Linked DNA regions of Lonchura striata. The main gene of each other region encodes a partner of the protein of the gene in region 2 in a complex. Links are inferred from orthologs where the notes say so. Each region holds a gene or a part of one and is shown on either strand. Other genes may lie near its edges.

Region 1 (6,886 bases), on a different chromosome or scaffold from region 2:
ATTCTGTCTTACTGTCAAAATGAAATTATGATGAAAAATATTTATAATCTGACTTACCCAACTGCAGCATCCAGAATCACAGTCACGGGAATGTTCAGCTTCCTTAGAGCTTTTGCCATTTTTTGCCTATTAAAGAAAATGTTTGGACCTTAAAAATTAATTTTTTTAGAGACAATAATATGAAAGTACTGTCTGAAAGACTGAAGCCTATGACCACCCCCATTCCCCTTCTGGTAGAACAGAAAATGAGTTATGATATAGAAATTGAAGGAATTGTTACGTGTTGTTAGTGACATGTATTATGCAGGGTGCAGGGTTTACTCCTTCACTTATACAACAACATCTGCTCTGAAGGAATTATTTGGCATCTTTAAATGACATTGTTAGCTATATATTTTACTTTGCTATGATTAACATAATACTGATTATTTTAGCCTACTTCTTAAAGAGATAATTATAAAGCAGTTGTCTCCTATCTCCCAAGGGCTGCCTGGCACTGACCAGAAGTTGTGAACCTTTGAAGAAGACCTAGATAACACTAATTAGGATATTGAGTATGGAAAGTTAATTACCAATATTTTTTAGATATTTTTTTCACTTGTCCAGAATAATGTGATATGAGCGATACTTGCTGTTTATCATGCTCCGACCAAGCCTAGCAGCTTTTCTTAGTGCAGGACCAGTCGGATGGTAGCTGTAACTTACCCTATGAACCAAGATAAAACCCAATCAATGAATACTCGCCCTGCTTCATCTGGCTGTGATTCAGTAACAAAAACACTGAATCGCTTCTTGGACTCCACAGCTGCTTCCAACACCCTGAGGACCACCCTGGAGTAGGCGTGTGTCAGTATTCGCTGCCAGGACAGAAATAAATTCACACATTACATCTGCTGAGCCTCGGGAAACCTTGACTTTTATCATGCCTTGCCGTGCAGAACAACGTTGTGCAGAAGTCCCCATCAGACTCCTCTCCCCTCCTGTTCCTCCCTCACTGCCAGCAGCAGCAGAACCCAACAGGAGCGACGCTGCCCCGGCCTACTCACAGCACCGTCTCTGATGAAAGGGTGACACAGCTTGGCGATTTTGTTCCGAGAGAGAGAGACTTTGGTCAGGAAGATCTCCCCGCGCTCGATCATGATTTCTTTGCACTTGGAGTAGTCCTGGCAAAGAGCGGGATGCCCGTGAGCGGCGGCAGGCTCCGGCAGCAGCGCGGGCAGGGCGGGCAGCCCTTACCGAGTACTCCAGCGAGGTGAGGCTGATGAAGCGCAGGAAGAGCTCCCCGCCGGAGGACACGGCCACCGAGGAGTCCACCCGCGACAGGGTGTCGATGGCGTCCCGCAGGCTGTTCCGCAGCCCCTGGATGGTCTCTCCTGGGCAGAGAGACACGCGTGGTCAGAGCCTCGCCCCGGCGGCAGCCGCGGCTCAGCCGGCGGCACCCGGGCCCACCTCGGTCCTGCCTGAGGAACCCCAGCAGCGCGCGGATGGCGGCCACGGCCGAGGCGACATCGGGGTCGTCCCTCAGCTGCGCCCTGAACGTCTCGATCAGATCTGGAAGGCAACGGGGAGCGTCAGGCCCGGCTTGGTCCGGCGCCTCCCGGGGCTGCCCCGCGGCCCCGTTACCGTCCGTGCCCACCGCCCCCCGTTACCCTCTGTGCCCATCTCCTCCCCGTTACCCTCCGTGCCCATCACCCCCGTTACCCTCCGTGCCCATCACCCCCGTTACCCTCCGTGCCCATCGCCCCCCGTTACCCTCCGTGCCCATCTCCTCCCCGTTACCCTCCGTGCCCATCGCTCCCCCGTTACCCTCCGTGCCCACCGCCCCCCGTTACCCACCGTGCCCATCTCCTCCCCGTTACCCTCCGTGCCCATCGCTCCCCCGTTACCCTCCGTGCCCATCTCCTCCCCGTTACCGTCCGTGCCCATCTCCTCCCCGTTACCCTCCGTGCCCATCACCCCCGTTACCCTCCGTGCCCATCGCCCCCCCGTTACCGTCCGTGCCCATCTCCTCCTCGTTACCCTCCGTGCCCATCACCCCCGTTACCGTCCGTGCCCACCGCCCCCCGTTACCCTCCGTGCCCATCACCCCCGTTACCCCCCGTGCCCATCGCCCCCCGTTACCCTCCGTGCCCATCACCCCCGTTACCCTCCGTGCCCATCGTCCCCCGTTACCCTCCGTGCCCATCACCCCCGTTACCCCCCGTGCCCACCGCCCCCGTTACCCTCCGTGCCCACCGCCCCCGTTACCCTCCGTGCCCACCGCCCCCCGTTACCCTCCGTGCCCATCACCCCCGTTACCCCCCGTGCCCACCGCCCCCGTTACCCCCCGTGCCCACCGCCCCCGTTACCCTCCGTGCCCACCGCCCCCCGTTACCCTCCGTGCCCATCTCCTCCCCGTTACCCTCCGTGCCCACCGCCCCCCTGTTACCCTCCGTGGCCATCACCCCCGTTACCCTCCGTGCCCATCACCCCCGTTACCCTCCGTGCCCACCGCCCCCCGTTACCCTCCGTGCCCATCGCTCCCCCGTTACCCTCCGTGCCCACCGCCCCCCGTTACCCTCCGTGCCCATCTCCTCCCCGTTACCCTCCGTGCCCACCGCCCCCCTGTTACCCTCCGTGCCCATCGCCCCCCGTTACCCTCCGTGCCCATCGCTCCCCCGTTACCGTCCGTGCCCATCGCCCCCCGTTACCCTCCGTGCCCACCGCCCCCGTTACCGTCCGTGCCCACCGCCCCCGTTACCGTCCGTGCTCATCGCCCCCCTGTTACCCTCCGTGCCCACCGCCCCCGTTACCGTCCGTGCTCATCGCCCCCCGTTACCGTCCGTGCCCATCGCCCCCCTGTTACCCTCCGTGCCCATCGCTCCCCATTACCCTCCGTGCCCATCTCCTCCCCGTTACCCTCCGTGCCCATCACCCCCGTTACCCTCCGTGCCCACCGCCCCCGTTACCGTCCGTGCTCATCGCCGCTCCGCCGGGGCTGGGCAGGGCCGGCCCGGGGCGTGCCGGATGCGGAGCGCCGGCCGGGCGTCATCCGCGGGCGCCGCGGCCGCCGCTGCCCGGGCGGCGCGATGAGCGCGGGTGAGCGCGGCCCGGCGGCGCGGCGGGTCCGGGCGCGCTGCGGAGCGCGCTGGGGGCGGCTCGTGGGGAAGCGGGGCCGGGAGCGGGGCCCCGGGGCTTCACCGCTCTGCCGGGGGCCCGCAGTGACGCCGCTGTGCGCTCCCTTTGCAGATGATGAGCTGAGCCTGCTGATCGTCGTCCTCGACACCAACCCGATCTGGTGGGGGAAGAGGGCTCTGGGAGAGGCTGAGGTACGGCCTTTGGGCGCTGGCACTGCTGATGGCCATTTCTGGGGGAAACGGTCATTTTCTTTCATTTCTGAACTGTGCTAATGTTCGGGTGTAACAGGTATCGTAATACTTTTTTGTTATAAATGAGAATTTATTCAGCCAGATTAAAAATAAAAAATGATTTTATTAGCGGTCAAATTCTATCTAGCCAGCCACAAGGAAAGAACAGAGCCCAGCCCAGGGTCGGCCCTGGGTGTGCAACAAGGAGTCAGCTTCAGCAGAGGTTTTCCCCTATGCCCACACACCTCTATCTTGGCCCAAGCGGTTTTTATAGGGAAAATTCTGCTTGAGGCCAAGATTTCAGCAATCAGTCTTTTCTTCTATTCAGAGTCTATAGGTTTTTTGGTGATGAGGAGGAATAATTCAGTGTCTGGAGTAGGTGAATCCCTGATGAGATTTACAGGAACGCTGCATTCACGTGTATTGGTCTGAGGATTTCCATGAGATCCATCTTGGGCTGTTTATGGGATGGTCAGCACCCGATGATCAACACCTGGAGTCCCATGGAGTCTTGACATGGCCCATCTCCTGGCCAAGCCAAATCCTTTTACTTGTAAATCAGTTTCTAATATACACCCAGTCTTGCCTGCAAAGGTGGGGGGGAACTAATATAAACGGGCATAATCTAACAAGTATCTAATATTGCATATTTCATATAAAGAATAGCGCAGATTATATTTACTACACATAACATTTTGAAATACCTATGCAGCATTCTGTGTTCATTAGAGCTTTTTCAACAGCAAAAGCTCATTCTGCATCTTCAAATTTAGGTTTTTTAAACTGCAACAATTTCACAGATTATTTCTGAATTGCTTCTCTGTAAATGTTACTGTGCTACATCTGCTCTGTTCTTTTTTCCAGCAGTTCACCCTGTCGAAATGCATCGATGCAGTGATGGTGCTGGGAAACTCTCACCTGCTCATGAATCGCACCAACAAACTCGCTGTAATAGCAAGTCACACTCAGGAAAGGTAGAGCTGCTTCTAAAGGTTTCCAGTTTCCTCTATCTGTCTCCTGATTTTCTTGTTTGATGGCAAGAAACCAAGTTAAAACTGTGTAATATATCATGGTCTTAAAAAAAGAAATTAGCTGAAACTAAGTAGGAAAGAATCTTAATGACTTACAAAGCAACAAAAGGACTTAGAAGGGAGGCTTAAATAGACTTAAAAATACACGGAGAGAGAATGGTAGAATATGTGTGGAGTGGAACAATGCAAATTGAAGAAGTTCCCTGTTTAGGGGATATTTTTACCTCCAGATGTTTGTGAATCTCAGGATCTACCCTCAAGTGCAGCTGAAGAATTTCACCAGATCTCTTAAGAGATGTCTTAAAAGGAGGGAGCTGAATGTGGGTTTTACTCCAGTTTAAGTTGAAGGTCACCTAACTTACAAATGCCTAACGTATTAGAAAGATTTTAAATGAAACTTCAGAATATTGTTATCTGCAGCTGATTAATTTATAGCATTTTTTCTTACATGAATACTTTGCTTTCCCTCTGTTTCAGCCGTTTCCTGTACCCTGGGAAGCGTTGGGCTGCTGCAGATCCCTTCGGAGAGGGAGGCCCTTCCATGGAATCTAACTGCTCCAGCAGCAAGGATGGAAAATATGAATTATTAACAGCAATAAATGATGCAATTGCAGAAGAGATTAAAGACCTCATGACAAAGAGTAAGCAGAAGAAAATTCTAGGCTTGCAGAATTGGAAAACGCTTGGACTGTCAAGGAGTTGCAGAAATGTCCTCTGTTTTCATCATATGAATTTTAATATGCTTAAAGTAGATGAGTTTATCAGGCCTGACACTTCAGGCCTCTGCCTTAGTATTATTGGCCAAAGATAAAAATGTGTAGTATTTTGTATTGTTAGGTCCAGCAGCTGTTTTTGTATATAAAAGTAACTTTTGCACTTTTTCTTGTATTGCAGCTGACATGAAGGGCCAGCAAACAGAAACCCTGTTAGCAGGATCACTTGCTAAAGCACTTTGTTGTATCCTTTTGATTACAGAATCTTCAAAGCCTTTATGTGTTCTTAACACTGTTTCTTATAGTACTAACTTTTAGTTTTCTTGTTTTGTTATAATACTTAAAACTGAACCATTTGCCTGATAACTGTGGCTTGTGTTTATCAAAATGTGTATTGGCTGAGGTGGTGAATGTGTGGTGTGGATCATGGAGTTATTTCCACTAATGGAATGTAGATTCCTTAATGCCAGCTAATGTAGACATCAACAAGATGGGCAAAGACCTAAAAGGTACCACCTCTTTTCCTGTTTTCAACACTGAAAGGTTTATTTTAACCTAAATAACAGGTATAAATACACTTGCACACACAAATATACATGTTTGGATACACCCCCATTTCCAAAATTGGCACTGATAGGTGGAGGTTTATTTTGAGGTTGCCTACATTGAAAAAGTTAAAGGACTTGATCAATAGTCCACACCCTTATGGAGATTTTCTGTTGTAAGGAAATAAATTGGAATTTCTGTGGAATAACTGGAGGTTGAGAGGAATTACTCCATAGATAATTGTCACTGGGACTGGAAATAGTTTCCTATAGATACTTTATCTGACCTGTTAGATCTAACATCCAGTATGTTCTGAGGTGTCATATGCTACAGAATTAAAGGGGTGATGCAAACAAGGTGTTGATGCATTTCTTTTTCTTTTTAATATTTAGTCAATCAAGAAATTAAATCAAGGATTCTGGTAAGAACTTTTGTTGTCACTGTTTTCTTTTAGTCTTGAAATCCAGTGATATATGTAGGCTAACAAGTTTGAATTTGTATTTAGGTCATAAAAGCTGCAGAAGACAGCGCATTGCAATACATGAATTTCATGAATGTGATCTTTGCAGCACAGAAACAGGTGAAGCTGGCCTTTTTTCTATTTATATTACCTTTTATTTTTGTGTAAATAACACAAATGTTAATTTATCTTATGATTACATAATTTATAGGGCATTTATCATGGAAACAAGTCATGACAGTGACACTGACAGGGCTGTGTGGGTTTTGGCTAAATTTATTTTTCATGCATGTCATCTCTTGCAGAGTATTTTGATTGATGCCTGTGTCTTGGACTCTGATTCAGGTCTTCTGCAACAGGTAGAGACTTGCTGTTGTTATTTACCATTTATATTAACTCATAAATACTTGATGTTAGACGTTCTTCAGCTCTTTCCTTTAATCAAGAGTGGGTGTGGAAATATGTTCAGTGGATCTGACAGTTGGACATGCAGGCCTTTTGCAGTACAGGGATATTTTAAGTGCCCTGTTCATGTCATCAAACAACAATCTGATCATGGTTTCTGCTTTCCAGGCCTGTGATATTACAGGTGGTATATATTTGAAAGTGCCCCACATGCCATCCCTTCTGCAGTATTTGTTGGTAAGTCACTTAAAAAAACACTTCAGTGTGTCAGATGTGAGATATTCCCTTCACTGACCTGATAATACAGGAATACCATCCCAATTCACAAAATACTTCTCTCTATCCATGCAGTGGGTTTTTCTCCCTGATCAAGAGCAGAGATCA
Region 2 (7,056 bases):
AGGAAATAATAATTTGTTGATAGCTCTTTCCCATAGATAGGACAGCCTCACAAAAGCCCAGCAATCCTCACCTGAAATCTCCTGCTGTGAACTTCGCCTCAGCAAGTGAAAAGGCAGCTTCTCTCATCACCTCACCCATCAGCATCTTAGTCTGTTTAAAAAAGAAAAGGCAACAAATACAAGGCACATTGTTACTACTTTTCCAGGATAAAAACCTAGCAGCTTAAAGAGAAGAAATTGAAGAGAGTGAGAAAGTCCTATATGCATAGCTTACTCTCAAACTGGTAATTGTAATTCTCAGGTGACTGGCAAAAATAGAGAAATATTTCAGCTGTTTCACATTGTAGAATTCATAGAAAAAGCAAAATATTTGCCTTACTCATTAAATTCTATTACATGGGGGTTAAATAAGAACAATAAAGTGGCTCAGCAGGAAAATATTCTTGTTTCACATTGTATGAAATACTATGAGACAGCTGAAGGTTGTTTTCAGCATACAAATGTATACAGCTTTGTGAAGCTGCACTCTCCTCCCACTCTGTTTTTTCCCAATTTTTACAGATTTTTAGCCCTTGTAGCTAAAAACTATTGAGAAACACCAGCCTTTGTGTTTTAGACAATGTATAGGAAGCCATGACATGATGAGATCTTGTCTACAGTGTGGCAACAAAGGACCACAGCTAACCACGGACTCTGCAGCAGCTGCAGCAAAAACAGTACAACTAAACCCATCTGATAGGGCAGAACAGAACAACACAGAGTAGGCTCCACTGACTATCTCAGATTTGTCATCCATGTTACAAAGAAAGATGCAAGATGTTACAAAGAAGAAACTTTATAGATATGCAGTATTCCCTCAAGCCAGAAAAAGCAATAAAAATGGGGCTACAGAACATTTTAATACCCAAAGTATTTGGCAGTATCAGAGCAAATTCCCTGTAACATAGAAGAGATGATCGGGAACTTGTAAAACAAAAGAGAGCAGAGGCTAAGACTGTCTGGAAAGAGGGGAAGAATATTAACTCTTCCAAGTTTCTGTATCATTGCAGCCACAGAAACATAATGCTGCTCATGTGTTCTCAGTAGTCTCACTTACAAAAAACAGGTTAGCCAGAAAGTCATCCTATATTCCAGCCTATCTAATGAAGTTAGGAGAATAGGAATGCACAACAGACAGAACATTAAAGTGAGCCAAACAAAGGAAAATTCTAATTTACCTACCTCAATAATTTTCTTAAGGATCTGTCTGAATCGAAGTGTCAAAGCATCAGATTTTTTCTTCAAGAGGTTACGACCTGTTTGGGCTCCTTTCAAACGAGCCTTCATGATGGTCTGAGCCCTGGTAAGCAGAGGAATAAAGAAAAAGCATCCTGCATCATCTGAAGAGATTAGGAAAAAACTTAGGTGAAGTTTTCTGACATGTATATGACTGAAATTATGAAGTAACCATGAAACACCATTGCAGTAAAACAGGATGGCCACTTCAGGACAGAATTTTAGATTCCCATTTAAAATCAAGGGAATTTATATTTATCTCCATCATCAATGAGAACTACAAGGTTATTATCTGTGAAGTCAAAACTCATGGAAAATTGACAAGACATCTTTCAGTGCTTCTATAATAGGAAATAAGAGTTTTCATTTTTCTTCATGACTTGGAAGTACCAGAAATCAAACTACTCCAAATACCCAGTGTCGCTGTGACATGGGTATTGCTTTTAAGTTCTTTTACTGCCATGCCACCTTCTCAAAATCAGACAAAGCAAATTCTTCATGTGGTCATAACAGTTGATGCCATGTTTTGATTTTACAGAGCAAGAAGATGCAGCAGTTGTACATTCTGATTTTCCTTATGCTTATATGCTGCATAGGAGATTTACAAGCTATCAAAGACAATCAAAAGCAGCGACAATTTAAAGGGATATTAGTGAGTTAGCTGTAGCTTTCACCTTTACATCCAGTAGCACACTTACAGGTTTCTTGTGTGAAATTAGAAACTGCACTGCTTTCTACATGCAACCACTGTGCACAAAGGACACCGCTTAAGTCAAGTTCTTACACACTTCCTCTCTGACCTTGGAAAAAATAAGTATAATTAAGATTCTTTCTACACAGTGGAATCCATTACTGACCACATCTACTAGTATATGATGAGAGTAGCTCCATTAACATCTACCAAATACGTCTAACTGAAAACCATTAATACTTTATGAATGTTTATGATTTAAAAAAAAATCAGAGAGTAAAAAGGGAACTTTCCCAACAAGCAGGTGGCTGTCATCACCTTGAACTAACTTGTTTGCTCTGTTCACCACCTGCCAGAGACTGGCTCGTCTTCTAGTTCAAGCAAGACCTCACTTGCTCTGAGAGTGCAATAAACAAAGTTTTGTTTACTCTCAAGGAAACTGAGCAACTTCTGGAATTGAAGACATCCAGCACAGAAGAAGAAGCTCATACCAGCAAGCTACTTTATAACAACAACAAAAAAAACCCCAAACCAACATAAAAGGTAAACCTTGTGAAATTCTCTTCTGTCAGGTAACAAAATTATTTGTTGCAGACACAGGTCATCTTTCTTTTGCCATTCTAACTTATATTTCTTTGGGAACAGCACCCACATTATTGCCTATCACCTCGTTTAAAAACGGGCTTGTAAATATTAGGTCTTTGTATATGACCACCCTCATGCCACAGTGACACATCACCTCACAAAACCAAGTACCTTTCAAAAGTGATTGAAGTGCCCCCTCCTTGCACACCTAAACTGAATGGAAAAATGCACTACCAAAGAGCAGGAGTGAGGCCAGATGACTTAATGTATGCAATAATTCATTCCCGTGTATGCAATAGTTTATTTCTAAACTAAATTTCAAAACAAAACCTTTGCCATGTAATGTATTAATCTTTCCATATAAACTGTTACTTTTTATGTCCTGAGCTCCTACAGAGTGAATAATTATTGTTTTATGTTTGAGGGTTTTTGTCCTTCAAGGCATCCTTTTTATTATAAAGATTATGTGCAGGCAACCCATTTTTATGCAAGAAGATTTAAAATAGCCTTTCACCTTAAAGCAAAGTCTGTCTGTCCTGGAGGGTTCTCAAGAGAAACTAAACAGTGTTATTAAACCAGCAATTTTATTCAATTGTTTGCTTTAGTTCCAGTGTTGTTGGCAGCTTTCTAAGCTTTCTCAGGAGACATCTGATTTCATGACAAACAGTTTGCTGTCTGGATCTGGAAAATTACCTGACTGTCCACTACACTGGGAGCACTTTACTTCCTTCTTTTAACGCGCTATGGCCAAGCTCTCGTGAAGCAGTATCCTCTGTTGCAAAGTTATGGGAAGCTGTCGTTCCGTTTGTCCATTTTTCCTACACATACATTCCACAAATTGTTCTTTTTTAGGTAAGGCTTGCGTAATCACATTATTTTAAATATCACACCGGCATCTCGGTGCCGGGCCCTGCCACGTCCCTCTAAGGCCAGACAGAGCTGACGCGGAGCCGGGAAGCAGAAGCTGAAGGTTGGGATCAGGGGCCCTCGGCGGCCCGTCACAGAACCGGGGGAGCCCCGCTCGGCGGCGCGGGGCAACCGGCGGAACGACTGCGAGCGCCGAGCCCCGGTGAGGAGCCCCGAGCGCCCCGAGAGCCGCCGCTCCCGCCGCCTCGGCAACGGCACGGACCCCCGCGCTCCCCCCGGGCGCTGTCCCGACCCGTCCCGGCGGACACTCACATCCGCGAGGGGAAGATCTCGATGCGGTCCTTGGCCGACATGGCTGCGGCGGGGCCGGCTCGGGCTGTCTCCGCTGTCACCGCCGGGGCCGGGGCCGGGACCGGCCGTCGCCGCCGCCCTCACGTGACTCGGCCCCGCCCCCGCGCGAGGCGGGGCCCGCGCGGCGCCGGGCGCGCCGCTCGCGTCACGTGTCTGCCGGGGCCGGCAGGAGGAGACGCGATTGGCTGAGCCCGAGGCTCCGGCCTCCCGCCGCCAGGGGGCGCTCGAGGGGATCGCGACCCCTCTCTCCTCCTCGGCGTCGCGGCAGCTGCGCAGTGGGGCGGCGGCGGCGGGGCGCACGCGGCGGCACGAGCGGAGCCAGCGCGGGACTGGGGTGCGCGAGCGCAGCGCGAGACCGCCCGGGCCGCAGCCAGGTACCGCCGCGCGCGCGGCCCGGCCCTCGCGCGGGGCCCGCGGCCGGGGGGGCCGCGCCGCTCGGGGCCGCGCCCGGCAGCCCGCGGGGCCGCGCCGCTCGGGGCCGCGCCGCTCGGGGCCGCGCGCGGGGCCGCGCCCGGTGCCGCGGGGCCGCGCCCGGTGCCGCGGCGCCCGCGGGCAGCGGCCGTGCCGGCGGCGCCGCTCGGGACCGGCTCCGTTTCTGCGGACGCCGTGCGGCCGAGAGGGCCTCGGCTGAGGCGTGTCCAGCCGCGGGAAAAGCCTCTGAACGCCAGCTTCGGCGCGGTGGGCCTAGTGCTGCTCCTGGGGAACAGAAGGCCAAAATAAAAACCTTGTGGCTGGGGAGAGGAGCGGAGTGGTGTTTGTCCGCTCTTGCTCGCTGTGGCTCGGGTTTGTCGCTTTGCAGTGCGGCTTGCTTGTGTACCCCAGAAGTACCGGCAGGATTGAGCAGAGCTGCATTCAGTAGACTAGAAAGCCAGACCGTAAAGTTTTCCTTTTTAACCTTGGAGTTCTTTGTTCAGCTTCAGCTTACATAAGTTATACAAAACATTCAGAGTGTTTTTATAATGTTTTACTAGTCTGTATTTCCCCTTTCTACAAGTTAAGAATTAAAATAAGGGTGGAAATGGTCTTCTTAATTGTGTGGACATGTGTACATAGCATTTGTCATTATCTGTCTACTCTGATTTTAAATTTTCTTATAGCTAGGAAGCATGAGCAAGGCTGTAAAGATCATGACTTAAAACTGGTGACTAAAATCTTCTGAAGGAGTGAAGCATTTGACTTGGCATCTTGGGCTGCTGCTGGAAAAATTTCCTGTAGAAAAATTTCTGTGTGAAACTTCAAGGCATAGACAACTGAACTAACTTAGACAAAACTTAGACTTTTAAGAGCATATGGATTCATTATCAAAAAAATAAAGCAGTTTAAGTATTCCTTCTTATCACTGCTTGATTATGAAATATTGCTTTTGCCTTTTTTTTTTTTTAATGTATAATGAAGGAATTCTGGTTTTTTTCATGTGACTTTGTTGGGTTTTTTCCCCTCCTGACTGTTGGGGGGCACTTTTTTCCCTTTTCAGTACTTCAGGCCAGGCTAGTTCTGTTCTAAATAATGCCTTTGCTTTCTTTGCTGACAATTGGCCTTTGGAACAGGTCTTGCAGGATTACTCTGAACATCTTGTGCTGAGTTTAAAAGTCATCTAGAGTCTGCTTCTCCTCAGTACTACAGAAACTTCCATCTTGCCTCTTATTTTGTTAGCCTCACATGCTGTCTTATGTGCATACAAAATGCTTCATGAGCACTGCATGCTTCTCTCTTATGTCCTCTTGCTCTTACAGTCCAGTTGATGATCCTTGAGAGTCCCAACTCAGAACTCTGTGAAAATGTTACACTCTGATGACTTTACATGCACGTGAGGTGTGCAGTCCCACCTTTCCACCACTCGAAGAAGCCTTTCCAGTGTTCTGTGTATAGGCAGTATGACAGGTGAAGTGTGTAATGAAGTCTGGGTAGCAAAGCTTTTTCTCCATTAAGGCAAAAAAATAGCATCTTAGGAAATGGTTGTGGTAATAGTATTTGAAATACAAGATAATTTATTACTTAATTTGTACTAAACCCTAAGTACAACCTTATCCTAATTGCTACTTTTTCTGCCACTGTTCTTCTCTATTGTCCCCAGTCTTTGCTGGTCTATTGCCGTGTTTGTAGGAGGAGGCAGTGATGTACTGTGAAATAAAACCTTTGATTTTTCTGCTTGAATTCCAGAATGCCGGGACTAAGCTGTAGATTCTACCAACATAAATTCCCCGAGGTGGAAGATGTAGTGATGGTCAACGTTCGGTCCATTGCTGAAATGGGAGCCTATGTCAGCCTGCTGGAGTACAACAACATCGAAGGCATGATCCTCCTCAGCGAGCTGTCCAGGAGACGCATCCGGTCCATAAACAAACTCATCCGCATCGGCAGGAACGAGTGCGTCGTGGTCATAAGAGTTGACAAAGAGAAAGGTATCTGGGCCTGTGGTGGGCTCTGTCAAGATTGAATTTGTAGACAGAAATGCAGATGAACTAAGCAGGTGTTTGTGGGTTTTGCTAGGACTACTTTTTTTGAGCATTGAAATAAAATAGACCATCACTGACCATACCTATGATTGTTCTTCTATTCCTCTTTGTTCTTTGGGAATTGGGTTAATGAAAGCAAATAAACATCAGTAAAAATTTAAGTGGGTCCTCACCAGATCAGTCACTGGACTATAGTGAAGTGAAATTTTCTTTTGGTATCTGTGTAGATTTTCTAAGTCAGCTGAAGAGAAGCATCATTTGCTGTAGATTCCTAGATGCTAAGCATTTAGTGCTGACAATCCATCCTGTTTGTTAACAAGTCTCAAACCTTATTGATAAAGGTGATGACAAGTATGTAATCATTGTGAATTCTGTAGGGAAAAGTTAGAATTGTACAGGTAGTTTTAGTTTTCCTGTCTTTTGAACATTTGAATCTTTGAAGGTTTTTTAAATGTAATTTCTATTGAGAAAATTTCAGATTTTGATAATATTATTCCACGCAATCTCTAAAATCTCTGTCCAGATGTACAGAAATAATAAACACTGAGCATGTCTCCTAGAAATATTAACTGTTGGTATGATGTTTCTCAAGTTAAATGCTCTTTTAGAATACTTCTGAGACTGCAGTTAACTCTGAGAATAAATAATGAATGACAGGATAAGGAAAAGCAGAGACAAAAGAAGGGCAAGAATAAACTTATTGCAGATAAATCTGAAGTGAAATAAGTTTCCCAACATCTCTAATGAAATTATACTTTTACTAATTAATCTTGTTTTCATATTAACAGAGAAACACATCTGGAATTCATCTAGTGGTCTTTTATTGAACTT

The links.
Region 1: the proteins of EIF2S1 (region 2) and EIF2B1 are in contact, whole or in part, in a cryo-EM structure (PDB 6K72), measured with the Homo sapiens proteins. The link is inferred for Lonchura striata from reciprocal best matches to the Homo sapiens genes EIF2S1 and EIF2B1. Residues at the interface, in NP_004085.1 of Homo sapiens: Ala28, Glu29, Met30, Tyr33, Gly44, Met45, Leu47, Leu48, Arg75, Lys80, Tyr82, Ile83, Asp84, Arg88; in NP_001405.1 of Homo sapiens: Gly39, Thr41, Ile42, Gln43, Gly44, Leu45, Arg46, Ala47, Asn48, Glu70, Arg74, Ser77, Ser80, Leu81, Glu82, Tyr83, Ser84, Asp85, Tyr86, Cys89, Leu305.

The regions. Positions count from the first base shown.
Region 1 is NC_134620.1:13,116,926-13,123,811, forward strand, and holds the start of EIF2B1 (translation initiation factor eIF2B subunit alpha), read right to left. Parts: upstream 3,020-6,886; 5' UTR 2,962-3,019; coding exon 2,949-2,961; intron 2,754-2,948; coding exon of another isoform or gene 2,741-2,753; intron 1,552-2,740; coding exon 1,450-1,551; intron 1,374-1,449; coding exon 1,237-1,373; intron 1,164-1,236; coding exon 1,047-1,163; intron 858-1,046; coding exon 745-857; intron 127-744; coding exon 58-126; intron 1-57. Other genes in the region: GTF2H3 (general transcription factor IIH subunit 3), read left to right, coding at 3,069-3,078, 3,229-3,308, 4,212-4,321, 4,856-5,019, 5,273-5,335, 5,571-5,600, 6,030-6,058, 6,143-6,217 and 3 more.
Region 2 is NC_134608.1:32,778,421-32,785,476, forward strand, and holds the start of EIF2S1 (eukaryotic translation initiation factor 2 subunit 1), read left to right. Parts: upstream 1-4,037; 5' UTR 4,038-4,143; intron 4,144-5,929; 5' UTR 5,930-5,930; coding exon 5,931-6,171; intron 6,172-7,056. Other genes in the region: ATP6V1D (V-type proton ATPase subunit D), read right to left, coding at 72-151, 1,222-1,339, 3,731-3,771. UniProt on the Homo sapiens protein: Member of the eIF2 complex that functions in the early steps of protein synthesis by forming a ternary complex with GTP and initiator tRNA. This complex binds to a 40S ribosomal subunit, followed by mRNA binding to form a 43S pre-initiation complex (43S PIC).